Linked DNA regions of Astyanax mexicanus. The protein of the gene in region 3 interacts with the protein of the main gene of each other region in a pairwise test. Links are inferred from orthologs where the notes say so. Each region holds a gene or a part of one and is shown on either strand. Other genes may lie near its edges. The genes, in order: myg1, fars2, type-1 angiotensin II receptor-associated protein and regulator of microtubule dynamics protein 2.

Region 1 (7,731 bases), about 24 Mb from region 3:
CAATATTTGGTTGGTTTTTAATCACAGTTTTCATTTCATGCATCTTGGCATCACGTTCTCCTCCACCAGTCTTACACACTGCTTTTGAATAACTTTATGCTGCTTTACTCCTGGTGCAAAAATTCAAGCCGTTCAGTTAACAAAGTTATTTATACATAATTTTGAATTTAATGTGAAATTTTAACAATTTTGCCTTTTTATTCATTTTTTTTTGTGTGTTGTTCCAATACATACTAAGGAAATAAACGGAAATTAAGGGTCTATAACAAAACGTGTGTAACTGAATTCATTTTCTTGGACAAACAATTTGAAGAAAAAATGTCAGAGGCTTCTAATCAACCTCAAACCTCACGAACCTCAGTGTCCTGAGACTCGCTGTTCCAGCGCGGGTTCAGATACCCGACGCGAGCGCTGAGGGATGTGGTCACGGTGTAACGAGCTTCTCCATCACACTGAGAAATCCCATTATCCACTGCATCCACCTCCTCCACAAAGTTCTCATACATCTGAAACAAACGGAGAAACAGGAGATCAGAAAGATAATTGAGTGATTAATTAAGATTGAATTGAGTATTTATTCCATTTTAAATGAAGCTCCAAATAAACTTGGACTGTCAAAAAATTATGCTAAGTACTTCTGCATCTCAAACAAAACGTTATTTTAAGTTAGAAAAGTTAAAGAAATGAACCTTATCATAGAGGATTCCCAGTTCTCTGCTGTCCTCCTGCAGGTGTGTGAGGTGGGAAAGCACCTGCCGACCAAAGTGAACATAAACCAGACCGGCTGAGCTCAGTTTAGTCACCCACGGCTTCTCCGGACACAGGCTGTTAAACGTCTCTACAAAAGACCTGGTTTAAACAGAAAACATACCCTTAGAATCAAACTGGTCTATAAAAAAAGCATTTTAAACAAGATTACTATTGTATTTTTGTTTTATGTAACTAAAAACCCACTCTAATAGATTTGATCTCTCATGCTTTTTACTTCATTACCTTACTTAAGTAGAAATGTAGGTTATCTTAACTTTAGTGAAATAATTATTTTAAATTTTCACACAATTATCTGAACTTTCTCCTCCTTACATTTTAAAAACAGCCTCGTTACTCCTGTTTCATTTCAGCTCGATTTCATTCCAGCTTCTCATCGTTTAATAAAACCCCCATCCAGATAAATCTAGATAAATCTAAATATCCAGATAAATAAAGGGGTAGTGCACTATAGGACTCTGTGGGCGTGGCCTAATCTTTTGTTCTTAATGGCTTTATTTTTTCCCCTTACATTACTTTTACTTTTATAGTTTAAGTATAAGCTTTGAAATCAGTACTTTTATTGTACTTTTACTTAAAGAGTAAAAAGCTTGAGTTGATTATTCTTTAACTTCTACAGAAGTATTTTATTAAACACTAGTATTCATTCATTATTCTACTTACAGAACATTGAATGGAGATAACGGCCAGAGTTCAGGTTGGTCGGTGAATCTAAACTCTAAAACAGACAGAATTACCTTTGATGATGATCATAACGGTGCTTTTTAGGGTCAAACACTCCTCCAACATCCACCACTATGTCACACTGCTCCAGCACTACCGGGTCACGCGTCCGAACTATTTCAGCATCCTGTCAGAATCACAGAGACAATTACTGGATTTAAAGTTTAAACTACACAAAAATCATAATTTACACAGCCAATTACCCAACCCACTCATTAGGACTCCCCCTGTCACTAGTGATGCTCCAACACCAGGAGGATGAAGACTAGCACACACCTCCTCCGATACATGTGAAGACAGACTCTGCCTCTTTTTGAGCTGCTGCTGATGCTGTAGCATTACCAAGTAGCATCACAGCGCTAACACTCGGAGGAAAGCGCAGCGACTCGGTTCTGATACATCAGCTCACAGACACAGCCTTGTGCTGATCCACATCACCCTAGGAGTGATGAGGGGAAAGAGAGAGCGCCATCTACTGTACTGTACCCACCCAGAGAGAGCAATTGTGGACAATTGTGCAAACTGTGCTCTCTCAGAGCTCTGGCAGCTGATGGCAGTCTTTTGTTTTAATTTTTTACTTACTTACTTACTGTATTTCTGTAATTTCATGTATTTGTCTGCCAGACTGCCAAAGACAAATTTTTCATTCAATATAAATTTAATGGACAATACAGTTTTCTTATCTTATCTTATCTATCTTATCTTATGGCAAGCTGCATGAACAGGATTCGAACCAGCTCTCTCTTCCGATTATAGTGGCATATATATATACAGCTCTGAAAAATATATCTATAAGAGAGCACTTAAAAATAATGAGTTTCTTTTTGAGTTCAATTTTACCAAATTGAAAACATCTGGAATATAATCAAGAGGAAGATGGATGATCACAAGCCATCAAACCACCAAACTGAACTGCTTGAATTTTTGCACCAGGAGTAAAGCAGCATAAAGTTATCCTCCAAAAGCAGTGTGTAAGACTGGTGGAGGAGAACATGATGCCAAGATGCATGAAATTAAAACTGTGATTAAAAACCAGGGTTATTCCACCAAATATTGATTTCTGAATGCTGTGCATCTTTTTTTTTTTTTTTTTTTGTTATTTCAGACATTTCTAATTTTCTGCAACATAAACCTATAAATAGCAAAATCAGAGAAACTGATTTAGAAACTGAAGTGATCTCTTATTTTTTCCAGAGCTGTATATGTTAATACAATAGTGAATAATAGTGAGTATTAGATGTAGAGGAGGGGTAACCTGGTACTGAGGAAGCTGCTTGAGGAAATAACAGGCCAGAACTTCATCACAGTGAAAAGATCCGCTGTGGGTTCCGATCTTCATGGTGCTGATCTCCAGACAGGCTCTCTTAGCGCTCTGCATATAACCTCTATACCCCGGAGCCCCGCGAGTTATATAACCTCTTCTTATAGATATTCTGTTTATACACACAAACACACACTGAAATATTCTCATCGGATCATCCCTAACACACACCACACCTGACCCGCACGCATGCGCACCACCGCTCCTCTACTCTTCTTCTATAGCGCCTGAAGAAACTTCTACACCAGCTTTACCGCCCCCTGCTGTACTGGAGGATACAGCAGAATATACTAATGCATATTAAAACATTACAATATCATCAAAAACTTACTTTATCTCAGTAATTAGGTTAAAAATGTGAAACTCATATATTATATAGATGTATTACACACACACAGAGTGATCTATTTTATCTATTTTAATAGATATAATAAAAAAACCTGAACAAAAATCAGCGTCTCAGAAAATTAGAATATTATTATAGATAATAACAATTGGTATTTTTTTCGGCAGTGTGGGCAGTGTGCCAAGTCCTGCTGGAAAATGAAATCCGTATGTCTATCAAAATTGTTCTCAGCAGAGGGAAGCTGTAAGATATGAAGTGCTGTAAGATTTTGTGGGAAAACAAAACTGCACTGACTTTAGACTTGATAATAAAACACAGTGGATCAACACCAGCAGATGACTGACATGACTCTCCAAACCATCACTGATCATCAGTAAATTTTACATTTTATTTAAAGGAAATAAAGGGAGCAGAGTCTGGAGGAAGAGTGGAGAAACACACAGTCCAAACTGCTCGAGGTCTAGTGTGAAGTGAACTTTTATGGAGATGCGGATTTCTTTTTCCAGCAGCACATTGGGCACACTGCGTATCAAAAGTACCAATTGTTTTTATATAATATAATAATATAAATTTTTTCTGAGACACTGATTTTGAGTTTTCATTGCCTGTAAGCCATAATCATAATCAACAATAAAATAAATAAACACTTAAAATAGATCACTCTGTGTGTTTAATACATCTATATAATATATGAGTTTCATATTTTCAACTGAATTATTGAAATTAAGTAACTTTTTAATGATATTAAATTTTTTGAGATGCCCTAAAAAAATTATAGTAAATGTATGAAACACTGCACTTTTAAAAATGTCCATTTTATACAGCGTTTAAACATGTTTTTGCAGGCATGTGTCATTCATTCATTGTCTGAGGTTGTTTTTGTAATTGTGTTGATATGATGAATCCACCAGAGGGCGGCCTTTGCTAAAAGAAATACATATATTTAATTACAGGTTTCTCTGATTTTGCTATTTATAGGTTTATGTTTGAGTAAAATGAACATTGTTGTTTTATTCTATAAACTACAGACAACATTTCTCCCAAATTCCAAATAAAAATATTCTCATTTAGAGCATTTATTTACAGAAAATGAGAAATGACTGAAATAACAAAAAAGATGCAGAACGTTCAGACCTCAAATAATGCAAAGAAAACAAGTTCATATTCATAAAGATTTAAGAGTTCAGAAATAATCAATATTTGGTGGAATAACCCTGGTTGGTTTTTAATCACAGTTTTAATTTCATGCATCTTGGCATCATGTTCTCCTCCACCAGTCTTACACACTGCTTTTGGATAACTTTATGCTGCTTTACTCCTGGTGCAAAAATTCAAGCAGTTCAGTTTGGTTGTTTGATGGCTTTTGATCATCCATCTTCCTCTTGATTATATTCCAGAGGTTTTCAATTTGGTAAAATCAAAGAAACTTATCATTTTTAAGGGGTCTGTTATTTGTTTTTTTTATTCATGATGCGTTCTCATGTGAACATATATCACATTTTCAGGTGGGAACTCCTTATGATTTAGTCTTGTTACAGAGGAAATCTTATACATACTGATAACCACAGGTTATTCACACACAGCTTATCTTTCCATTTATAATTTAGCACAATAGAATTCCTCACATTCTTCAGTGTGTGGTAGTCGTGAGCTCACTGATACGGGATGGTGATATTTGAATTTACACATCAGACACTTACAGACACGTGATGATATATTTCACAAGGCAGGAAACACCTCGGGAAGTTTCAGTATTTAACAGAGTTCCTGAGTTCCTGAGTTAATCTACTCCTTTATGGGTTATTAAACGCACTGCATGCTTCACTGAGCTCTGATTACTGTCTTCCTTCCATTAAAATGAATTCAGGAAGTCAGGAAAGCTTTAGTCATTAGCTAATAATTTGATATATTAGCCGTGTTACAGAGACAGAATTCTAAACCTGTAGCTTTATTGGGTATAATACACTGAAATCTCATTTTATCTATTTCCAGTAAAAATACACGTTAAATTGGAGCTAATTTTGCGCAAAAACTATTAAAAGTAACCACATAAAAATGATGAGTTTCTTTGATTTGACCAAATTTAAAAACATCTGGAATTTAATCAAAAGGAAGATGCTTGAACTGCTTGAATTTTTGCACCAGGAGTAAAGCAGCATAAAGTTATCCAAAAGCAGTGTGTAAGACTGGTGGAGGAGAACATGATGCCAAGATGCATGAAATTAAAACTGTGATTAAAAACCAACCAGGATTATTCCACCAAATATTGATTATTTCTGAACTCTTAAAACTTTATGAATATGAACTTGTTTTCTTTGCATTATTTGAGGTCTGAAAGCTCTGCATCTTTTTTTTGTTATTTCAGTCATTTCTCATTTTCTGTAAATAAATGCTCTAAATGAGAATATTTTTATTTGGAATTTGGGAGAAATGTTGTCTGTAGTTTATAGAATAAAACAACAATGTTCATTTTACTCAAACATAAACCTATAAATAGCAAAATCAGAGAAACTGATTCAGAAACTTATTTTTTTCAGAGCTGTATACTGTGACATGTGAAGGTGGGGGAAACTTCGCAGCCCCGGTTGGTCCCAGCTGGAACTCGTTGGACTGATTGGGACCGTGTTAAAAGCCCTGCCTGTTTTTACACTCTCTCCCCTTTTATGTTTGTTATTTTGCCTAATCAATTTACTTCGTAATATATCCACAATAATCGCATATACTTCCGAAGAGGGAGGATGTCGGGCAAAAAAAAAAAAAAAAAATATATATATATATATATATATATATATATATAATTAACCATTATATTTTTTTATTCTTTTTTTAGTCTTGGTCTTGAGAATGTTATGTCTATGGCTTCAGTGTTTACCCAGCATACGGATGTTAGTAATGGGAGCAGGAGGGGTTAAACAGGGGTTAAACATGAGCAGACACGGCTCTTCCTGGGGCCTAGTTGGGCAATTTCATGGGAAAATGAGTGTAAGAGAGAGAGCTGTGTAAATATATATTGTTTTTTTTTTTAAATAAACTATTCTCAAGAACCAGGATGCAGAATTAAATCTCAGTTATTACTCTGTATGTAGAATAGAGTATAGATACTAGTGTTTAATAAAATACTTCTGTAGAAGTTAAATAAAGTATCAACTCAAGCTTTTTACTTTTACTCTTTAAGTAAAAGTGTTTAAAAAAGTACTGGTTTCAAAGTTACTTAAAGTATAAAAGTAAAAGAAATGTAATAAAAGGGAAAAATAAAGTAATTAAGTAAAAAAAAATATATATTTTTTCTAAAAGCCATAATGACTATAATGTTCTATTATTAAAATGTTAATGTTGATAATATAATTTGGGATTTTGCATTAGGTTCCCTAAAGTGTTTCAGCTGCATATATGCTTTTATTAAAAATGAATGTATTTTACATACAGAACAATGTAAATATATTAACCCTAGTGAAAATAAAGTAGACTGAAGTATACTAATCATTATGATGCTCATTCACTCGTAACTGTGACACCGACTCTTTAACTGTCACTCCTCTACACCTCTCAGACCACTTCTTCATGCAACTCAACGTTCGCATTTCGAAAAAACCCACAGCTACTCCTACTACGGTCTCGTTCCGCCGAAATCTTCGAGATCTCCCAGCAGACCAGTACTCCTCGCTGGTGACTGACAATATGCCTCCATTAGGCTCATTTTCATCACTCAATGTTAATGATGCCACTGACACTCTCTGCTCCACACTAAGCTCCTGTTTGGACGACCTCTGTCCTCAAACATCTCGAGCCATTAGCTCAAGCAAACCGCAGCCATGGCTCAAAAATGACACGCTCAGGGAACTACGCTCCAAACTCTGAAGCTTAGTTGAAGCTGCTGAAAGAAAATGGCAAAAAAAGCAAAACCAGACAGACCTAAAAAACTACCAACTGCTCCTGGCTTCTTTTTCAGCCAGCCTCACTGCTGCTGAAGCTGAATTCTATCACAAAAAAATCAGCTCCCTCACAGACTCCCGGAAACTATTTGCTACATTCAAAACACTACTCAACCCTCCACCTCCTCCTCAGGCTACCTGCCTTACGGCTGAAGCTCTTGCCTCATTCTTTACTGGGAAAGTGGCAGCTATCAGCAGACAGTTTACTGATGCGACATGTAGCGGTCCTACATCATGCTCTGCTGCCCGGTATCCCTCTACCGAAGGCGTCGCTTTCTCCTCGTTCGCTCCTCTCACTGAGAACGAGACACTGGCTCTCCTAACACGTAGCCGTCCTACTACGTGTCCGCTTGACCCGATTCCTTCAGACCTTCTGCAAACCATTGCACCTGCAATCATTCCGGCTATTACTCACACGATCGATGCCTCTTTAACTTCTGGTGTATTCCCGACTGCTTTTAAACAAGCACAGGTCACACCACTGCTTAAAAAGCCTTCTCTCAACCCCGCCCAGGTTGATAACTACAGACCGGTCTCACTACTGCCTTTTCTTTCTAAAACATTAGAAAGAGCAGCTCTCAATCAAGTCTCTGGCTTCCTCACCCAAAATGACCTCCTGGACCAGAACCAATCTGGTTTCA
Region 2 (7,147 bases), on a different chromosome or scaffold from region 3:
ATATTCGGGTCCAGCCCTAGTGGACATTTTTAAGGCCCCATTAATAGACATTACTGCCCAGCACCACTAAACACTGTGCTCAGAACCGAGTTTATTGCTAATGTCCATACACACAGGCTACAAAAACACAAATCACAGCAGATTAACAAGCTGTAAGCCAGTTATTTCACATCAGTATTCAACAAAGAACAACAGATTTCAGTCAAACACATTAAGAGGCAAGAAATTTAAGTAATTAACTCCTGACGAGGTACAGCTGTTAACTGAAAGCCATTCCAAGTGACTCTACCTCATAAAGCTGACTGAAAAAATTCAGCCAAGATATGCAAAGCTGTCATCTACCCAAGACGTGCTACTTAGAAGAATCTAAAATATAAAACATATTCTGGTTTGTTTAATACTTAAATCCATGTGTTTTTCTCCATAGGTCGTATGTAGGGTTGCAGCGGTAACCGGTTTCACGGTATACCATGGTATTAAAATGCACGGTTATCATACCGTGTGTGTTTGCTTATTACCGGTAAAACGCAAGCCAGCGGAGAAACTCACCCGCGCATGCGCAACTCTGCTCCGCTTCAGCTGCTCAGCACACAGCGGTGAGAACAACAGAAAGTGCATCAGACTAAACAAATCTCCGTCCGCCTAAAAAAAGGCTAAACTAAAATCAGCAGTGTGGGACTATTTCGGATACCCGCCGAACGCAGGATGGTTATCCGATTTGTAATCAATGTGGCCGTAAAGTCACAGCTAAAGGTGGACATACGTCAAACCTGTTCTCCCATCTCCGAGAACACCACCCCGCTGTGCAGCGCAAAGTATGTGTTTAGCTTATAATTTTAATCTGAACCTAAATAAAACCTCTTTGTAGTCGTGCACAACCCATGCAGTAAGCGCCCGCAAAAGCGCTGAGTTATCCGAAATTTGGGCACGCAGGTACAGGCGTGAAGTGCGTGCTACGATGGATTCACGTGTCCGTGTAAAGGTCCTGGCCGGACTGGATGTGAAAGACGCCATTCATTTACATGCGTTCATTTTCAAATTCTGACGTGCCTGTTTTTCAAATGTTAAAACCAGACTCGGTGTGAAAGCCTTAAAATAGAAATCTCTATTGTGAGGATCATGTCAGAAATAAATCCCCTCTTTCTGCAGTATCTGGTTATATACCAACTTGGCAGTAAAACGGACGTTTACAACAGTTGTTGATCAGACACTGACCCAGGCTCAGTTTATCAGATATTAAATAATTTAAACTTAAATAATTGTACTGAATAGTTTAAACACAGGATCTTTACTTCTTAGAGGACATGTAATGTGTGTAACGTGTGTGTATGTGTGTATATATATTATATATATTTATATATATTTTTTTTATATACACTCTTAATGCCCTTAAGAGTAGTGGAAAAAAAATTTTTCCTTCACCTGATGGTATACAGCTTATTTTTTTTTAAGGAGACATTAAAATTATAATTGTTCCAGGTTTCTACAATAAATAGTTAATTGAACAAAAAACCTTTGTTGTAATTTCTTTAAGGGTCAGTTTAATAATATATGTAACAAACTGTGATACCGTGATAACCGTGATACCGCGGTATTTTCTGAGACGGTTATCATACCGTGAAAATCTCATACCGTTGCAACCCTAGTCGTATGATTTTAGTATTAATCTACAAAGGATATTGTTTTATACAACTTTTTAAATAATGAAAAAACAAACAGCATATTTAAGGTGTATCCTACTTTTAACTGGTAATATTCATATGTTTACATACTTTCAATGTCAATATATTTCAATAATGCTGAATGCAAAATGCTTTTTAATAATGCTGAAGTGAAAACATTCACTAAACAGTCACATTCACAAACTCCTTCAACACGTGCCGACATGTTCATGCTCTCTCTCTCTCTCTCTCTCTCTCACACTATCTCAGTCTCCCTGTGTCTCTCTCTCACACACACTTTCTCAGGTTCTTTATCTGTCTCTCTCACACACACACTCTCAGTCTCTCTATCTGTCTCTCTCTCTCAGTCTCTCTCTCAGTCTCTCTGTCAATCTCGTGCTCAGTCTCTCTACCTCTGTCTTTCCAGCTCCTACACAGTCTCTCGCTCTCTCACAGTCAGACTCTGTCTCTCCTTCACACACATTCTCTCTCGCAGTCTCTCTCTCCCACACACAGTCTCTCGCTCTCAGTAACTGTCTCTCTTTTGCTCAGACTCTGTCTCTCACTCACACACTTTCTCTCTGTGTCCCTTTCTCTCTCTCTTCACAAAGAGAGATACTGGCCAGGCTAAGCTTGCTGTGTGACTGTCTAGGAAGAACAAATTGAAGGAGGGTGGCTCTCAGGATGCTGGAGACATGCTTAAAACTCTGATAAAGATTAGATTGAAAATTGATTTAGTTTTTTAATGAAGATTATTTGGTCTTGTGCACACAGAAAAATAGAAAAGCCACTTATTTTAGTTTGACCCTTTTTTATTTTTTTTTTGTGTAATGTAAATTTTTAATAGTAAAATAAAGCGTGCCAAAAGTCAAAAGTGTCTCTTTCTCTCTCTCTCTCTCTCTTACTCACACACATTCTCTCTATGTGTGCATCTTTCTGTCTCTCTCTCTCTCTTTCTTTCTCCCTCTCTCTCTCACTCTCTCTCTCCCACTTTCCCTCTCTCTCTCTCTCTCTCTCTCTAACTATATATATATATATATATATATAATATCTCAGTGACAGTAGTGGAGTTTATCAGTCAGTCTGTAAACAGTAAACACAGTAAACACAGCTATAAACACACAGAGAACGGAGCTGAACCCGGGCTGTGCTCTGAACGCGCAGTATAAATGAGCTGTGAGTTTAGAGAAGAAGGAGGAGGTGAATAATATAAATAATAACAGTATTAAGTTAATAAACATGCAGCCCTCAGACTGTCCCACTCACCTCTCTCAGACCCGCCGCCTGTCAGAAACACGCCTCACCTGCGCGCGAGCCTGATCAATATACACACCCGCCCCGCGCTCAGCGCTGTACACTGATTAATATCTGAATTCGCTTTATTTCTACAGCCTGTTTAAACTATAAAACTGTTTATTTGCTCCGCAGTCGGAGCGCGAGAGGCGATAAAGGCGGGTTTTCTGTTCAGGCAGTGTTTTAGTCGCCTTTGTGGGAAAGATGGCGGCGTCCAGTAGAGCGCAGGTGCTGTCTCTGTACCGGAGTCTGCTGAAGGAGAGCAGGGCTTTCCCCTCCTATAACTACAGGTATTTACACAATTTACCCCCTTAATACCCCACCACACACACCTGCCCTGCGCGCGGGGGCTGTGTGAGGTGGGTGTGTAGACTGTAGAGCTGTTGGGAGTCTGGGTTCTTTTCACTGACAACACAACTCACTGTAGTTATCCCCTTTCTGTTAAATAAATCTCCAATAATTTGCTTTAAAACGTGTTTTCTGTGTTTATTATTTATTTCTCGGTTACTTTGTACCTTTAGAAATCTCCAGCTCTTGTTGTGAAACTTTAAAGCCCATATAAGTGTACACGAATCAGTCAGAAGTATATTGTGTAAGCTCATTAGCTAGACTCCTTTAAAGTCCTTCAGGAAAAAAAGAACTATTGAGAAAGTTCATTTATTTGTATAAATTCTTTACAGCCCGTTTTTTTTTTTTTGTAAACCAGCTTTGGTTTGTAAAAACAAACATATGCACAGGGAAAAAACAAACTGGCAAGCTTTAGGAAGAAGCCTAGCCTAGCTCTGGGGGACCCATGCAAACAAAAACTACTAAGGATTGTGTAATAAATGGTAAAACGTCACCTTACCATAACATAAGGCCATTTCTATTTACTGGTGTACTAAAATAACACGTTTAGCAGTAGTAGAAGAAGGTTTAGCAGTATAAGTATCAGTATTATTAGCATTAGCAGTGGTAAAAACTGTACCACTAGCAGTTGTACTAGCATACGTAGGAGCAGTAGTATTAGCAGTATTATTAGCCATACAGTAGTGGTATTAGCAGAAGTAGTAGCAGTATTATTAGCAGTCGTATTCATATTAGTAATAGAAGTACTAACAGAATGGTAGCAGTATGTGTAGCCGTATTATTAGCAGTAGTAACAGTAGAACTATCATTAGTACTAGCAATAATAGTAGAAGTAGCAGCAGTATTTGTATTTTAAAAAAGTGTTTGCTGTAGTAGTAGTAGTAGTAGTAGTAGTATAAGTAACAGTAGTACTATTAGAAGTACTAGCAGTAGTAGCAGTATTATTAGCAGCAGTGACAGTAGAACTAGCATTAGTACTAGCAATAATAGAAGTAGCAGCAATATTTGTATTATAAGCAGTATTTGTTGTAGTAGTAGTAGTAGTAGTAGTAGTAGTAGTAGTGGTAGTAGAAGTAACAGTAGTACTATTAGAAGTACTAGCAGTAGTAGCAGTATTATTAGCAGTAGTGACAGTAGTATTACCATTACTAGCAATAATAGTATAAGTAGCAGCAGTATTTGTATTATTAGCAGTATTTTAGCAGTAGTAACAGTAGTACTATTAGAAGTAGTAGCAGTAGTACTAGCAATAGTAGTAGAAGTAGCAAACATATTTGTATTATTAGCAGTAGTAGTAATAGTTGTACTGGCAGTAGTAGAAGAAACAGTAGTATTAAAAATAGCTGTACTCGTATAAGTAGCAGAACTCACTGTAGTTTATCCCCTTTTTGTTAAGGGAAAACTCCAGTAAATAGGATTAAAACATGTTTTCTATGTTTTTCTAATGAGCACTGTGATTTATTGGTACATTTAGAAATCTTCAACTCTTGTTGGGCAATTTTAAAATCTATAAGAAAACAATTAAACGTATAAAGAATCAGTCAGAGGTCACATACAGTAGCAGATCATTAGCCAGGGGGCCTTAACAGCCCAGACCCTGACCCATTTAGTAGTTAAAGTTGAGGCCAAAGTTGTTTAAAAAATATATATATATATATATATATATTTGTGTTAAAAAAACACTTTAATGTTTCCAAGTTAATCACATGTTAAGATAATATAACCTTGACCGCACTTAATGTAACTGTTTAGGGTGAAACAGAGTTAGAATTCGAAGCCAACTGGATTCCATTTTCAAAAGACGGTACCACATCTATTAATAAATGCCTGGGTCATGCTTTTATTGTGGGTTTTGAGGTGTGTTTAGTATTGTTATTTTGCTGGTGTTTAATTAAATAAATTCTTCCCTGTACTACTGGTTTTAGGTGATTCGATGTGTAGGGCTAGATTAAGAGCTGTGCCTGTATTTAGGCTGCATTTCACTCTTACAGCTTTATTTTGTACCATTGTATCATTGACAGTCTGAGGGCTGTATGCAGACCAGATTAAAATAACAGTTCATGAAGTTCATCAGGTGGCCTCTCTTTCTTACAGTGAGAGATGGGCTGCTGTGTTTTGTTTTTCCCAAAAGTGGGAAAGGGGGACACACCTGTTTCAGTAAAGCAGTTACAAAACTATAGCATATAGCTGCATTAGATTGTAACAGCTTTATTAGTGTCCTTATATTCAGTCTGTACATGTTTATTTTTTATTATGCTGTGGTGATATGGCAACAGGGTCATTGCATCCATGAAGGTCACACCCCACAACGGATTTAAAGGTTCTGCTGTAAAATACATTGTGGTGGCTTGGTCCAGTTTTTTTTTTTAGACTTACCAAAAAATAGACTTACTGCTGGGGGGTGGGCAGATTCATTTTTATATACTAGCAACAGGGATTTGCTTAAACTGCCCAAGTCCTGTGTTTACTTGGCCACAATACCATCCAATTTTGGATTCTTTTTAAACTGAAAAAAAAATAAAAAATAAAATACAAAGTTTAGTTTGTTTACAGACCAATTGAACACATACAGTAAATGTTAAACCAGCAAGCTTACAGAACACACTCCAATCTGTCTGTCTGAAACTCTACTTATAGTAAACTGTTTAGATGAGAATGATGATTGAGCGACTGGACGGAGCAAATATAGAAATTAGCTTTTTATCTAGATAACTTTAGCTACTAGATTAACCCATCTTCAGAGAGATTTGAGGCACACATTTCATATTTCTTTGCCTGAGTGTATAACAACTTAGGTGGACTTTGTTTTTGTTTTTTTTTCTTCGTTTTTTAATATATATACCCCCCCCCCCCCACCACCACCACCTCTTTTCAGAGAGCTACATAAAATTTAGTGGGTGCCCCCTTTCTGGGTCAATCTTAAATGCACAAGAATGAATTAAGTATTTTGGCCTGTAGTAGCGAGACATAGAGCATATGTGATATATCAGTTATTCATGAGTGATATGTATGAACCATCCTTGTTAAAATGTTTTAGTACTGTGCTATACAGTATTACCATTATACCGCAATCAATCAATCAATTAATCAATCAATCAACCTTTATTTAAAGTACATTGAGGGTGGCCCTCATTTACAATGTAGCTGAGCCAATACATAGGGAAGTGATTGTCAAAGAAAAAGAATAAATAAATAAAAAGACCTAGCACTTTAATAAGATATGAAATAAATAAGATAAAAATAATTTAGTAAGAATCATAAAATCATAGGTAAGAAAATCAAAGGTTATAAAAGAGGTAATAATGCAAGAATGGCATTATTCTTGTTTATTTCCTGTGTATAACTTATTGCTTGTTTCTTGACCTAGATAAGAGCTTATGTTGTACCTGCCTGCATGTTTTAGACAATCTTGAATAACAGTTTTCTAAACCCTGAAACGAAAACCTTCTGCGCATGCAGCCTGCCTCAACACATTCAAACGAGGCCCTTAAACATACATTTTTTCGGTGTTCTTGGCAATTAAACCGAACATTTATTTTTATGAATATACTAATGTAACAAAATAATACTGATTAAGAATAATAATAATAATAATAATAATAATAATAATAATAATAATAAAAACAACAATAATAATAACAATAATAATAACAATAACAATAATAAAGTGTATCAAAATAAATTATGTAATATAATGTAACATAAAGACTTACCACAATACAATAAGTGCAAGCTATTTAGTGTGTGCATATATAACTACAAACATTAAAGCTTCACATTAAATAGCAAAGCAATATAAGAGTAAACTGCTGAAATAGACTGCAGAATATGGCTATTATCACAAT
Region 3 (7,674 bases):
GGCAGGAAAAGGTAGTATAGGGTAGTATTGGATAGTATAAGGTTCTATAGGCTAGTGTAAATGAAAAGTGCAGTATAGGTGAGTGTAGGGAGTAGAACGTAGTAAAAGGAATTATAGTGAGTATGGGGAGTAGTAGGGCATAGCATATGGAAATTTTAGATGGTATAAGGAAGGATAGGGAATGTAGGGTAGTATGGTGTAATGTAGATAAATAAGTAGTATTATATTAAGTATAGGGGAGTACATGAGAGTAAAAGATACTAGAGTGAGTGTATGGTAGTATGGAAAGGAAAGGTTAGTATAGATAGTATAAGGTATATAATGAGAATGGGGAGTAGAGTGTAGTATAGGGATGTTTTACATAATATAAGGTAGTATAGGGAGTGTAGGGTAATAAAGGGTAGAAAATGGGAGTATAGGGAAGTGCAGGATAGTACATGGAGTTCAGGGTAGTATGGGGTTTATATTATGGTGAGTAGAGAGTAGTATATGGACGTTTTGGAGAGTATAGTGTAGTATAGGTAGTGCAGGTAAGTATGGGATAATATAGAACAGTGAGTATTAAGAATATTGAGTATAGGGTAGCATATAGATTACATGAGAGTAACAGAGTAAGATAATAGAGTGAGTGTAGGGTAGTAAAAAGAGTAAAGGGAAGAATAGAAAGTATAGGGTAGTATACAGAGTACAGGGCAGTATAACGGATTATAGTGAATTATAAAAAAAATAGGGTAGTATAGGGAAGAATACTACATGGTTCAGAGCTCAACTAATGTCAGACCCCAAACATTGTCTGATTTAATATATTTGCGCAAAATAGAAACAAATGGTAGATTAGATTTTTTGCTAAACACAATAACACTGTTTAGCCAAGGGAGACAGAGATGGAGGTCAAAGGTCACACCTGCCACCGAACACGAGTGAGTAGGCAGGTCCCATCTGCCAGACGCGTGGCACACAACAAAGACGTCCATCCCCACAGGGTGTGAGAGCACCCCCCAAAACCGGCCTTCTGTCTCAACTCTCGTCTAATTCATCCAATCACAGCTCATAACTGACTTACAGCTAACGAGCTGTCGCCACACACACAATACACAGCGCAGCTGGCTAATTCAACACACCCGCATCCGTCTATCACACTCATAATTGAGTTTTTTATAAATGTAGGCTGGTAGATGGTCTCCTGGCTCTGGGATTTTGTGCTTCAGGGGGCTTTATCAAATCAATGATTTAAATGTTGCCTGATTTTAATGTTTAGATGACAGTAGATCATGAAAATTTGTCTTGATTTGCTTTCGCTTTGATAAGTCTGTGTAGACCTTTTCTCTCCTGTGTGCTCAAACCTTTTTAATAACACGGCCCAAATACAATACATGAAAGAAATTGAATTGTCATGGTTGATATTTCACACAGGACAACTCATTTCTGTTCCGGGGATCCCATGATGGAATATAAAATGTCACGATATAATGTAATTCAGTAGACTCATAACCAGGGATTTAAGCACAAATACAGACTCCCCACCAATAAAGCTGAGCGCAGACATACAGGCTGAAACTCACCCGCCTCAGGGACTCCACACAGGTATTTAAACCCAGATTTACTCTCAGTGCACCAGCAGAATGCACAAATGAAGAAAATGAATCACTGTAACTGAAGGGAAAGAATGTTAAGAAGAACAAGGTGGATAGATATATTGATCTATCTAGCTTTTCCAGTCCCTGTAGAGAAGTGTTATATAATGCGAGGTATTGAGCTGTGGAGCGGTCGAACTGTGTTCTCTGGAACTCCACCCAATACTTTTGGAATGAGGTGGGGAAGACCAAAGCTATCATAGGTATTGAAATTAATGACCCAGGTATAAGTATAGATAAGAGAGTATAGATATTAGAGTTTAAAATACTTCTGTAGAAGTTGAAGTGTCAACTCAAGCTTTTTAATCCAGTAAGAGTGTCTAAGTATTGGTTTCAGAATTACTTAAAAATATGAAAGTAAATGTAATGGCCCTTGTTGGTTTCTTGCATTATTTATTTGCATAATAGTCATATCCTCCACTCCTTACTCACTATCAGTGTGTAGTCTTGTCAACCAAGGCTGCCTTTCCTTTAGTACTCAGCTAATAGTTATTTCTATTTAGTCAGTCAGTTAATTACTAACTTTTATTCCAGGGAGTTTAGCTTGTGTTTTTTGTCTTTTAGTATAAGATAGAATCACCCTGCTTCCCTTCTGCCAGTCAAAATCAATAACACTTTGCAGTAAAGAAAACGGTAACTTGCTTTTATGCCCTACAACCAGTAATGTTAAACTCAGATTTGAACTAAATCAATTTATTTGAAAAACACAGTGTTTCGATATACTGCTTTGAAGTCTGTATCAAAACAAATAAATTCAAATCAGCTTTCATTACATCACAAAGTTTCAAAACATATATAATAAATAAATATATAATAAAGCTGACTACTCAGCGTAGCCCCAGTGGACAAGACTACACACTGATGGATTGAACTGATTTTGTGACGCCATCTTTACTGAATACTGTGGTACTGTGACAGTACCACACCCACAGAGCACACTAGCACACAAGCTTTTCATGAATTCATTAATTTATTGAATTGTGTAATACATTGTGTTGAAATAATAATGCATCCCAGCACTCACATAACAGTAGAGCATATACAATCACTTATTACAGCTGATGTCCATAAATTTTGGGATTGAGGGCCCTCTCTGTTGAGAATGGGTAATTGCACCAAAAACGAACTGGCACATTGAATCTAGATTAATGTACCTTGAGCTCTTCATCGGTGGTTGACAGGCACGTGTGTTTATTGCGTGTAACGTCACCAAAATACCACATTTAAAGTATAGTTACTGTGGGCCATGCAGTGAAAGTAGTAGAGACAAACATACATTTAATATAATCTTTTAAGAATTTAAAGGTCCCTTTCCGCTAAAATCCACTTTTTCTTGTTCTTTGTGAAATACAGTAGGTCTCTCTGAGTTGTATATTGATGCTGCACATGAAACTGTTCCTCAACCATTGCCTGCAGTAGCTAGTAAATGTTCAGAAAAACGAGTCGAGCAGTAAAAGCACAGTCTCTACCTTAATCTGTGAATTAATATTCATGGCCTTGCCCATCATGGAGCTAACAGGACTAGAAACAGCATAGCAGTTTGTTCCTGTATTATTTGTGTAAATAATATATTAGTGTTATATGCTTTTCCCCAGTAATTCAGAGGTTATTCAAACAGTTAGAATTTGTCTGTAGAATACCACCAGCACAGTACAACTGAGATAGGTAGGTGTGTGTTTACACTAGTTAAAAGTAAAAAGTGCACCCAGGAGTTTGTTCTGAATGCCTGGGCGGCTCTGCTGCAACTCAGCTGATTTTTTTTCTTTCTGGACCTGGATTACCCACCTCCATGTGTTTACATATGATCTCTGGTGGATTTTGTGTTTTACAGAGACTATGAGTCTAAGTCAGTGGCTTACTTGACTTAGCAGGGCATTACACATGTTGTAAAGTAACATATGACATTGCAAATACTGTCATTAGTGTAAAAATGTCTTTATTTTAAAATGTTTCTATCTGTTGTCCATCTCGCTGCAGTCATAGTGCTGTTAGCCAATCAGAGACGATATGTTTGCATGTATGAATATTAATGAGCAAAAGCAGAAATCCTCGTTTCTCCCACTCCACTCCTCCACGGGACTAAAGCACAGTTATGCCGAATCACCAGAGCACAAAAACCAGCACACATGGCATTCATTCATACTAGAGACCACAACTAGACATTTTAAAGTTAATTTAAAAATTATGGAATAAGACTTTTAAAGCAATAAAATTGAAACAGACACAAAGTAGGGAAATATGCTCGCCCAGATAATATGGGTAAGGATAACAGAGACTCTATTATAGATATTATTTTATTTACAGACTTCATTGCGCTCAGATAGATAGATAGTAGGGGTGGGCGATATGGCTCTAAAATAACAGTACGATATTTCAGGGTATTTTTTCGATAACGATATACTTGGCAATATAGGAAAACAGAAAAAATAATTCATTAACTTCAGGAATATAGTATAATAGTATAACAGTATAATCATAATGTGGCAAAATAAATAATATAGCCTAAAATAATATAATGCAGCAAAAAATATTGCAGAATATTTTCATGCATATAAACTGAAAACAAAAACTAAACTAAACTAAAACAATTATATAATACATACACCTAAATCTTCACAGTAAATAATGGACTACTTTTAAGACAGAACATCTCTATTATCACGATATGGATTTTTAATATCATGATATTTCTGTGTTACGATAAATTGTATACAATATAATATTGCCCACCCCTAATAGATAGATAGATAGATAGATAGATAGATAGATAGATAGACAGACAGACAGACAGACAGACAGACAGACAGACAGACAGACAGACAGACAGACAGACAGATAGATAGATAGATAGATAGATAGATAGATAGATAGATAGATAGATAGATAGATAGATAGATAGATAGATATTATCTGATTTGATCAGTGGAATGTGTTATTAGGCAGGCTGTGAGATGCTGTATAAGACCTCAGTGCTCTCTGGCGTTTATTTAGGAAGGAATCAGGGTCACGTGGTGGAGTCATGCTGCAGTCACATGGCTGAGTCCGGCAGTGCAGCAGCAGCAGCAGCACAGTGCTGGACTTCACTAACTTTTCCCCCAGTCTCAATCTGAAGTGCTGAGGACAATCACAGCTCACAATATGGAAATCCCGGCCATAAACCTCAAGGTAAACATTAGCCTGTGTTTAGATTTGCTGGCTGAAGCATTAAAGAGTCAGCTTTTATTAGTTTATTAATTCTATCAGCAGATTCTGCTCATCAGGTGTTTCTATTAGAACCATTATCTCCATCCTTTTATCTGCTGTGTTTTATCTGATTTAATCATGTTATACAGGCAGAATGTGTTATTTTATGATGTTCTAGATGTGTAACAGGCTTTATGGTTGCACGTGAACGTCTTTGAACTGGATTAGTGAATTTGTGTGTGTGTGTGTGTGTGTGTGTGTGTGTGTGTGTGTGTGTGTGTGTGTGTGTGTGTGTGAGTGTGAATCAGTGTTTGCTTGTATTGCTATTTCTGAAAGCACCAAATATCTTCACAATGAAAAGATATGAAAAAGTGAATTAAAGGTTTTGGATATTGTGAGTAGGTTAAAGCGTTAGGTTTACGATGCTATTGCATTACTTGTTTACAGTATATTGTAAAACACATATTAGTGTATTTTATTATACGTTTAACTTTCAATGAAAGTATTTTTTAAAATTAATATAACTTATTATTTTATGCCTTTGTCCTTCCTGGCAAGCTGTAGTGGACAGTAACAGACCAGACATTTTTAACAAATTAAATGTTGATGGAAACTTGATTGACCTAGATTTGCAAGTTGTAGAATTTTTCTTTGTAAGCTTGATCTGTTTTGATTTACTCAAAATATTTTATTACTGTTATATTTCACCACAATAGAATAGGTTAACCATTCCACTGTATGTGTTATAATATAGTGTGTTTATTATTAATATGTAGGTTACCATTGTACTGTATATTTTATAATATAATGTGTTTATTATACATGTGTGTGTGTGTGTGTGTGTGTGTGTGTTGTAGGCCATCGTGCTGGTCCACTGGTTGCTGACTATCTGGTGAGTAAAGTGGCTCCTTGGTGTTTTTCCTCACGTACCTGAGGAATTTCCCCAGCTGCTCCGTCTGTTTGTGAGAGGTTGGGATTTTCAGGGCTTTATTTGGGATAAATGTCTGGATTGAAAAAGGCTTTCACTTTCCTCACGGCTGATCTTGTCTAAATAGTCAATCCCACTGATTTTAATCAAATGAGGCAATACAAATAGAGCCGCAAGGTGAATAAAGCAGGGAGAAACAACTACATTGCAATGCAATATAAAAAAAATACAGAATTTTTTTTTACCAATTTTTAATTTTGTGCTGAAAAGTGAAATCTTCCAAATAAATATGTATACAAGTAATATAACATTTATTGTGTTGGGAATGTTTTTTTCAAACACTTTATACAACTAAGTGAAGCTAAGCAACATGACTATTTAAATGTATCATGATAAATTTACTTGTCAGATCTTTTTAAGCATGTAGAGCATATAATTAGTGTTTAAATTACTATGACCCAACTGTACATTTCATTATAGAGAGTGTTCAAAATCCTGTTTAATTGGTAAATGTGCAGCAACTATCACTGTGCTGTGCATAAAATAGTTGAATTCTGTTTTTTTAAGAATCTGCCGCTGTTGATGCATTTTGTGAGTGTCAAACTTTTGTGATAAATATTGTTTATTGTGTTACTTACACCATGGATGCAGGCTTTTATACTGTATATATCAATACGGGAATTATATCAACATAAATAAATAAGTGCTTTTATCTGGGGTGCTGTTAACTTGCGGTTTCAGAGGCTGGTAATTTTGATGGACTTACAACAGAGGTAACTCTTACACTTCCTTTCCTGGGGTGGTCCTAATAAGTGGAATGTTTTGGAATGACTGACCTTTATTTCTTAAAGTATATATTTTTTACTTAGTTGAGTAGTTATTGCCTTCGAGTAGAACATTACTCAAATATGCCTATTCACTGTATACCAACTCTACCTCTTCAGAACTTAAAATTCAAGTAATTAAGGCTTGGTGAGTTCAGCACAGCTGTTAACTGAATGCCTGAATTCCAGGTGACTCTACCTCATGAATCTGACTAAGAAAATCAAGCCAGGATGTGCGAAAATGTCATCTAAGCGAGAGATGCTACTTTAAAGAATCTAACAATTTAAATGATGAAAAACTACTGAATTTATGGTGTGTCCAAACTTTTGGCTGGTACTGTATATTGCTTGATAATTAGCATATAAATAGCATTTTTTTTTCATTTAAAACCCAAAAAAATAAACATTTCTTGATACTCTCTGATCCAGATCTACTGGGTTGGATTGATACACCCCTATTAGAGGCATTAAACTCTGATGATTCCCAATGACTGGGGTGAATAGATTCATTGTGCATATCAAACTAACTGAGTGTAGCTCTCCAGCCAAAAGTATCCAAAGGACAGTGCATATTAGAAACTGCTGACTGCTGATGAAGAGCTACAACTGATAAAGTCAAAAACACACACCAAGATTCTGAGCAAATGCGTCTCAGATCCGCCAGTGAGCATTATTTCCGCATGACTGAAATACCTCTTAGTTTAAAAGCATTCAGACATGAATTTAGCTCCTTATTAACAGACTCTGAATTCCTGCAAAACTTGATATTCAATTATTTATCACATGTAAATGCTTAGAGGTGTGATCTAATTAGAAACTGGGCCTCTTAAGCCACAAGAGGATGTAAGAGTGTCTCCCACTGACCTTTTAAAAAGGCTTTCAGAGGTTACTTTTGGGCAGTATACCTTTTGGTGAGAGATCACTGATTAATAGACATGCCTGTACAATGCACTCAAATGCACAGTCCCACCTTTGCTGTGGAGTGATACACCACCCCAACTGCTGATAAACTACTGTGATGATCTAGATTGGATTGCATTGCAGACGACAGTCAGTCACCCCTAGTAGTGATACAAGGGACTTCCAAATGCCATTATTCAAGTTA
Region 4 (7,789 bases), on a different chromosome or scaffold from region 3:
AAGGCCTTCACTCTGATTAGCACTGTGCAAACTGCATGTCTGAGTCGTGCTTAAAAGCAGCTATTGTTTTTGTGAAATAATGTTATGTGCCTTACAGTTCACAAACCTTGAGCACTTTATCAATTGCCCACCAGTATCCACTGCCTTTGTGAACAATGCAATATTCCACATAATGTGCAATCGTTTTCCTTTTTTTCATATATATATTTGTTCTCCATGTATTTCTTACATTAATTGTCTAGCATATATTTATTTTGTTACATTTGCAAATAGGAGTCTGGTGAAACACAATCTCATTAGCAATGCACTCCGTGCTGTATAGCCTAATGTACAATAAAGTTCACTTTGACTTGAGTTTGTTTAGTATTAGTTGGAATTTATGGTGCAACAGCCAATCAGTTAACACACACAGAAAGAATAAGTTAAAATGAAATGGATACATTTTTCAGGGGGTTTAAAAAAAACTACACATACACACACATATATATATATATATATACTACATATATAGGACAGCAATAAAATGATCAGAGGTTGTGCAAGGTTAGTATGTTTGATTCACGTATCACATGATCAAATTTGGTTATTTATTTGGAAAGTGTTTAATAGTCACCAGAGGAGCTTAGATATGAGCTCAGAAATGTGTACTGATAAGTCTACTGTGGTTGACTACAGTCGTGATAAATTCAAAACTGTTTTAGACAAATTGCAGAAAACTGTACGTACCCTCCTTCACTCTCCGCCTCCTCTGAGCTCTGCCCCTCTGCTCTGGGCACTCCACTGGTTCTTTTCCTCCTCGTGGGTGTGGTTCTGTTGAGAGGACTGGCCTTACGGGCCCCACTTTTCACTCTCAGCTCATCCCTCACGTGGTCCTGAAGGTGTGGCAGAGCATCCTTCAGAGCTTTCACCTCCTCTTTCAGTTCAGACACACACTGGATCAAAGCCCCCAGCCGATCCAACACCTCTGCCTGACCTGTCTGCAGAGACACACTGCCCGCATTGCTACTGGAGTACAGAGCTGGACGATAAGTGCCTGACCCTGCGCTGCTGGCTACAGCACGCCGGTTCTGATACCAGACAGCAGCCAGGCTGATCCCCGCTGCCCCAGCCAGAACTCCCAGTGCCAGGACCTTGTTATCAGCCTGAGCCATCCTGCAAAGACAGAGAATGTGAATACAAACTTGACACAAATACTTCAAAATATATACCCAAACCCTAAATATACTATATTACTCAATATATTATTAGTATGTACTTGTTTTATTTGTAGGTGTTTTATTTCTTAATAATTAAGGCAGAGATTAACATACTAGCACTGGCTAAGGCATCAATCAGTGTCAATTCTGCTGCACTACATTTGTAAGTTTTTAAATAATTCTAAATAAAAATAACACATTTAATAAAGTAAAGTATTTTGGGCTTTTAGCCAAACATATCAAAATCAAGCAATCATTTACCTTTTAAAAGTGTTAACTGTCAAACTGTCTTCCTACCTGCTTTTTTTAGTTGAACCTGTTTTTATGACTTGGGCAACAACACAGCTACACATTTCAGTTTCAATCTTTCATCTTATACTAAGTTTCTCAAGAAAAGACTGTACGTTTCAAAGTTCTTGTCAAAAAATGAATGGCAGTGGTTTGTGTTATGCAAACAGAAAATCAAGAAAATCATACATGGCTCATCCAACAGATACAACTGTTTTAAGCTAAATAAGTATTAAAATTGTCAAAAAAAATTGTGCCTTCAGATGCTTTGATGTCATTACAAATGTATTTGATAATTAGCCTATTATTTTGCAGCACTCTTCTTGATCATTTAGGAGACACAGTGAGTGATGCACATTGAGCTGATTCAACAGATAGGCTGTGTGTACTGTAGTTCTGCTTCTAATAACAGATCATTACTGCAACATGGTGAGGAAAACATGAAAGGTGCCACAAAACATTTTTTCAGCATCAGGAAAACTCAGAACAAGCTAGTTTTATTTGAACACCTCACAATAAGTAGTCAAAGTTAAACTACAGAAACACTCCATAATACTACACTGCAGGAGAAACTAACAGCATGACAGCACAGTGTGAGTGTGTGATATCTGAGGCTGAATCTATGTCTATATCTAAGGACTGTTTAAACTTTTTTCAGATGCTGGGCTGATGTTAGGCCGGTCACAATAACAATTTTGTCATTTTGTGTGGATAATATACGATATTATTGTAATTTTAAGACAAATACATGCCACTAACATACTAATAATAAAATAGCATAACAAAGCAATTATACTATTTTAAAGACAACACATCTTTAGATCAATCTCCGTCTAATATATCTATAGAATATATACATTTCATATTCTTAACTAGATTACTAAAATAAAGTAACCTGCTTCTTTACTTTCTCTTCTGTAGTTTAATGATTTCAGAAAGGCAGCTATCTGACATTTTTACAGGTTTGGAAAATTAGTGCTACACACTTTTAGAGAACATGGAAATTAATGTTTTTAAACCGAGACCTAGGATACAACCTTACCTAGTTTTTCTTAATCACTGTTTGGTGTGTGAGTCTTAAACTGGCTCCATAGGTGAGAGAGGAGAGATTAAACCGGATTATCCACAGACCAGCCAGACAGGAAACACTAGTTACTATCTGGGTATTTAAAGAGCACACATTTCAGTCTGGTTCACCAAATATAATAACTGTATAAGGAGAACGTCTCTGAACGTGTGTTTTTTTTTAAACCAAAATAAGTTTGTGTAGAGAGTCTACAGAAGCTGACACAGACAGGGCAGCTAACCTACAGCACTGAGCTACTCTAACCTACAGGGCTCAGCTACAACTAGCCACGCTAAGTAACTACCAAACTGACCTCAGGACGGTCGCAGCGTGATTACTACGAAACTGTAACATAACGAATACACAACAGTGTCGCCCTGAAACACAGACAGACACAGAGAGACGCAGAGCAGTTCAGAGAAACTCAGAGAAAGTGAAAAAGAGGAGAAAAGCCCAGCCTTAATCTTACTGCTCACACCAGCACTCTCCAGCACCTGACAGCCACGGTGCACCTTCAACAACAGTCCGGAGTGCACTCCGCCTTTCCTCTGTACAATACAAATAATAAAGGTTCCGCTGAACGGACACCAAACTAGGGGCTAACCATAACTGTCCTCATAATATCATAAAATACTGATCTGCATAAGAAATAACTGTCTCTCTTTCTCTGTTAATATTAAAGAAATATTTGCACTAATATAATTTCATTAATAATATTAATAAAATATTTCACAAAAGTATATTAATAATATGTGAATACATATTTTACAAAAGTATAATTTCATTATTAATATTTGAAAAAATAGTTTACTTTTAGTTTATTAGTTTATTTTTAAATATTTGAAGATATATTTTACACAAATATAATTTCATTATAAATATTTTAATACAGATTTTTACAAAGGTATATTTAATTATTAGTATTTAAATGCGTTTTTTTTTTACAAAAGTGTCATTTAATTATTATTTTTAAATACATATTTTATAAAAGCATAATTTTATCATTATTTGTAAGGAAATATTTTGCACAAATATAATTTCATTATTAATATATATATTTTTTACAAAAGTATATATTTTTTATTATTTTAATAATAAGAAATATTCATCTTTATTGAGCGGGTTTTGTATAGTTTTGTATACTTTTTTATTATTAATCTTTTATGTACTTTTTGTGACTAATAACAGTTATAAAATCAATTGTATAGAATATTTATTTTCAATTGAATATTTATTTTCATTAATTAAAAATGTACATTTTTATGTCTATCATATTGTTCTTGTTAACTCTTTTACCTCTGATATTAAACTGAATAAACCGTTCTAATAAAAGCATGTGACCGGCACCCAGTGATGTCACTTCCTCTGGTGTGAAACATGAGAAAAGCAGCAAGATACAGTATGTCCAACTTCTCATTATTGTGTGTAAAATGTTAAGGGGTTGAGGGCCAAACATTTCATTACAATATCAACATCTGCCATTTAATTTTTAATACATAATAATGTGTTGAAAATCCATATTCTCCAAATCCATGCCATGTGGGACCTAGTTTAAGGTTTACATATGGTTGCATAAATCATACAAAATAGTAGGATATGTTATTACCGGCAGCTGTTAATGGTTTTAAATGTTTAATGGTTCACAATTAATGAAGGACCCAGATCTCCATCTTAACTTTGATTTATGGGGTCCGCTACTAATATCTTGATTCTACACCACATGTGTCAAACACAAGGCCCGCGGGCCAAATGTGGCCCGCCACGTCTTTTTATGTGGCCCGCGAGAGCTTGTAAAATCTTAGTGTCTATAATAAATAGGTCAGAAGCGTTCTTTGACCAAAAAATACATTTCCCACAATGCTTGTCGATTGTATTACCCGCAAAGTTACGGCTTACTGCCACTACACGGCAGTGTAGTCATTGATGTGGAAACCCTGCCGGAGGGAAGGTGTAACTTCGCGGGTGGAATTGAGACATGTTTATCCCATAATATCCAGAAAAAGAAAAGTTGATGCAGACGGACGGCTGTGCTTCAAGGCGAAAGACCGGTATGCATTTTGTGTTACTGACGAAAATAAACGCTTTTTAGAAGAGATATAAATTATGTGTAAATATTTATAAGACAATAGCTGATAAAATCTGTTTTAATGAGGTTAATAAACATCACTGTGACATCGCTAGTCGCAGTTTCACCTCAGCAAAGGACGAGGAGGTGAATCACTTATCTAACCAGCCTTTACTGATTTCTTCAACAGTCTAACCTTGCAGCCGTGGTGTGTCCACTAAACTCCGTAGTTATAAACATCCTGAGGTTAGCAGCGCGCTAACTGACCTGTTTATAATGTAATCCGAGCAGTGACTCCGGGATGGCTGCTCTAAACTGCTGCTGTTAGCTGCTTGGGCTGAAATATGAACTGTAGAGAGCTGTATTATCCGGTTAGTGGGGTTATTTTATTTCATACACAGAAGAACTTAAAATTTTAAAAACGCTCCAGACTGGCTCAGCTGAGTCCTGTAGCCCGTGGCTGGGCTGTAGCTCTGACTCAGTAAAGACTGTGGGCTTGTGCTGCTGCAGCTCCCACTAGTGGTTGGATGAGGAAATGCTAAATCTGTCACAGCTCACAATTTTTGATTTTATATTAATTAAGCCTCTTTTCAGTATCAAACGTTTTGATCAAAGTTAATATAACTTGTATTTTATGTCATTTCTATTCACTTGTATAGTTTGGTTCTTGATTGATGGAGTTTTTGGATTTCATAACAGGATTTATGTTAATAGAGCAACAAGCAAACATTTTTTCCATGCAACTGTAATATTTGATTGAATAAATAATATATTGAGAGTTATTTAACATTAAGGAGTAATTACATTCATTTACATATATTACATTTGGTTACATTTTCTTATATTTATAAGTTACATCTGGCCCTCGGAGGACAGCCAATATGCCAATGTGGCCCTCGGCCAAAATGAGTTTGACACCCCTGTTCTACACCACAGGACACCTTCAGAGGTATTGTGGAGCCCTTTCATTGACCAGACAGAGCTGTTGTCATGCACAATAGTGAGTATTACTATTCACAATATTTGTTTGGTGGGTTTTTAATGTCATCTTCATGTAGAGTTTAGATTTGTAATTAATTAGGTCAAGATCAGTGTATTTTTAATATAAACATATCTTTAAATGGAGAGTTAATGTGTTTATGTAATGACTTTTAAGAAAGTAAGTAACTTGTTCCTATTTGTCGTCAACATTAGCACAACCCTTGTTTTCCTATCACATGATAGACCTCTTCTTTCACCTTCCACCGTTAACCCATATTAACAACAGCTTATTATCAGAATCTGATAAAAAATGATTGCGGACAAAAATTATCGTTGGCAATATATTAATTTAGCTTATCAGCTCACTTTCCAACCAAAGAACAAGCACTTAGCCCAGTTCACATTATAAAACATGAATTCTAGTGCCAACACACTTTCCGTTAGCCTATTCAGATGTAGCCACACAAACAATGGCAATTTTACATCAAAAGCATTTATTAATTTATAAATCACATAAGCAAACCCTAAGCAAAACAAATCACAGTGTCACCAATCTTCATCCCTCTTATCCCTCTTTATCTTTAATCTGCCACCTTACTTAACCCAATATCACCCTGCGATGTAGTTAAAGTGCCTTTTGGACATTGGATGATTGGCAGTGAAATTTATTGCTATTGGTGTCACATAAAATAGATAATACACACTCACAATAACAAGTGCAGCATTTGAGCTCCTATGTCCATGAAAACTGATCTTGCTTGACCTGAAGATCCCTATGTCTTCACTTAGAGTTAATTATGAGAGTCATACCACATCATAGTTAAACTTCCAAACCTAACTACCAAAGCAAAAAGGCAAAGTTCATTACAGTCACTCATTAACTGTTACCTGAGTCAGAGCAGCATGCCTGAAACAACACTTTATAGCAATAATTCAATGAACATCTTGTAAAATTGACAATGACTTTAAACAGACAGCAGCTGGTTATGAAACAAAATGTGTTTTTAACTTTACTCTCTGTACTCTGCGTTCTTCAGTTTAGTATAGCATAAATCTATATTCAAACTGCTCAATGACCGAATACTTACATGTACACAAACACAAAATAAAATATACAAACGAATTACTATCTATACACATTGTTTATGTAAATATAAGTTAGCAGTGAACCCAAGAATAGAAAATCACCCAAAACTTACTTTACAAGAGCAGACGATTGTGCTGTGTGTTGGAGGTCTTCTCTCTCTTCAGAGCAAAACAGTGTGCCGGACTGCAGTTCAAGAACACATAGTTAATCTGATCAACCTTGAACTGTGTTGTCATTTCATGCAAGGCTGTTCTGACTGGCTACTAATGTTATTTTTTAGGGCCTGGACACATCTGCTTATCTTCATATGTTGCAGGAATTGTATTTCAAGTAGAGAAGGTTCTACTTGTGAAAAATAAATGTTAATATTGAGAATATTAATATTAAAATACTCATTACAAAATTTATCATAATTTATATAGAATGTATAGGACTTTGGGAATGTTAGCTGAATTTATCCATTCTACATCTACAGTTGATGTGTGTTTAAGGTTGCTGTTCTGCTGAAATAAACCAGTTGTGTCCAAGGCTACGTTTAGACTGACAGCCCAAATCAGATTTTTGGCATGTTTATATTGTATCTACTATCCAGATTGATTTCTGATTGTCAGCCATAAACCACATGAATCAAATTTTTGCTAATTGGATCCGAACCAAATATTAAGATAGTGTGAAATGCAATTACAATATAATGTGTACAGGAGTGTCTCAGTCTGGAAGCTCTGGTTGCTCAAATCGAACTTCAGTGTGTATTTTTTTCATTATTCACAGTGTAGCAAACAAGGGCCTCCTCAAATCCAAAGTGACAGACGTGCTTCAGTCCAAACTAATTATGAAGAATTTTCCTGCTTGACTGGTATGAAAACCTGTATCCACAAAGGTTTAACATGCCTGATATAGTTTATGGTTTAATGTTATACCATATAGATAGCGCTTTTCATTATTCCATTTATTTGTGCTATGCACCAGTTCCACTGGCATTAAACAGCCCCAAAGCATGATCCTACCACCACCATGCACCATGCTCAGTCTAAATTCTCAGCTGAAGATCACAGTTTGTCTTTCTCGCTGGCTGAGTGTTTCCAACTTGTATAATATCTTGTACA

What was found.
Region 1: the proteins of type-1 angiotensin II receptor-associated protein (region 3) and myg1 interact in binary tests that used the Homo sapiens proteins (3 or more experiments, as listed by UniProt). The two-hybrid records come from large-scale screens. The link is inferred for Astyanax mexicanus from reciprocal best matches to the Homo sapiens genes AGTRAP and MYG1.
Region 2: the proteins of type-1 angiotensin II receptor-associated protein (region 3) and fars2 interact in binary tests that used the Homo sapiens proteins (3 or more experiments, as listed by UniProt). The two-hybrid records come from large-scale screens. The link is inferred for Astyanax mexicanus from reciprocal best matches to the Homo sapiens genes AGTRAP and FARS2.
Region 4: the proteins of type-1 angiotensin II receptor-associated protein (region 3) and regulator of microtubule dynamics protein 2 interact in binary tests that used the Homo sapiens proteins (3 or more experiments, as listed by UniProt). The two-hybrid records come from large-scale screens. The link is inferred for Astyanax mexicanus from reciprocal best matches to the Homo sapiens genes AGTRAP and RMDN2.

The regions. Positions count from the first base shown.
Region 1 is NC_064431.1:32,590,992-32,598,722, forward strand, and holds the start of myg1 (UPF0160 protein MYG1, mitochondrial), read right to left. Parts: upstream 3,023-7,731; 5' UTR 2,963-3,022; coding exon 2,747-2,962; intron 1,619-2,746; coding exon 1,506-1,618; intron 850-1,505; coding exon 690-849; intron 507-689; coding exon 357-506; intron 1-356. UniProt on the Homo sapiens protein: 3'-5' RNA exonuclease which cleaves in situ on specific transcripts in both nucleus and mitochondrion. Involved in regulating spatially segregated organellar RNA processing, acts as a coordinator of nucleo-mitochondrial crosstalk.
Region 2 is NC_064413.1:47,016,059-47,023,205, forward strand, and holds the start of fars2 (phenylalanine--tRNA ligase, mitochondrial), read right to left. Parts: upstream 3,009-7,147; 5' UTR 2,928-3,008; intron 1-2,927. Other genes in the region: LYR motif-containing protein 4, read left to right, coding at 3,159-3,244. UniProt on the Homo sapiens protein: Is responsible for the charging of tRNA(Phe) with phenylalanine in mitochondrial translation.
Region 3 is NC_064431.1:8,274,880-8,282,553, forward strand, and holds the start of type-1 angiotensin II receptor-associated protein, read left to right. Parts: upstream 1-4,661; 5' UTR 4,662-4,772; coding exon 4,773-4,799; intron 4,800-5,674; coding exon 5,675-5,709; intron 5,710-7,674. UniProt on the Homo sapiens protein: Appears to be a negative regulator of type-1 angiotensin II receptor-mediated signaling by regulating receptor internalization as well as mechanism of receptor desensitization such as phosphorylation.
Region 4 is NC_064414.1:41,539,063-41,546,851, forward strand, and holds the start of regulator of microtubule dynamics protein 2, read right to left. Parts: upstream 3,014-7,789; 5' UTR 2,905-3,013; coding exon 2,864-2,904; intron 2,845-2,863; exon of another isoform or gene 2,527-2,844; intron 1,153-2,526; coding exon 727-1,152; intron 1-726.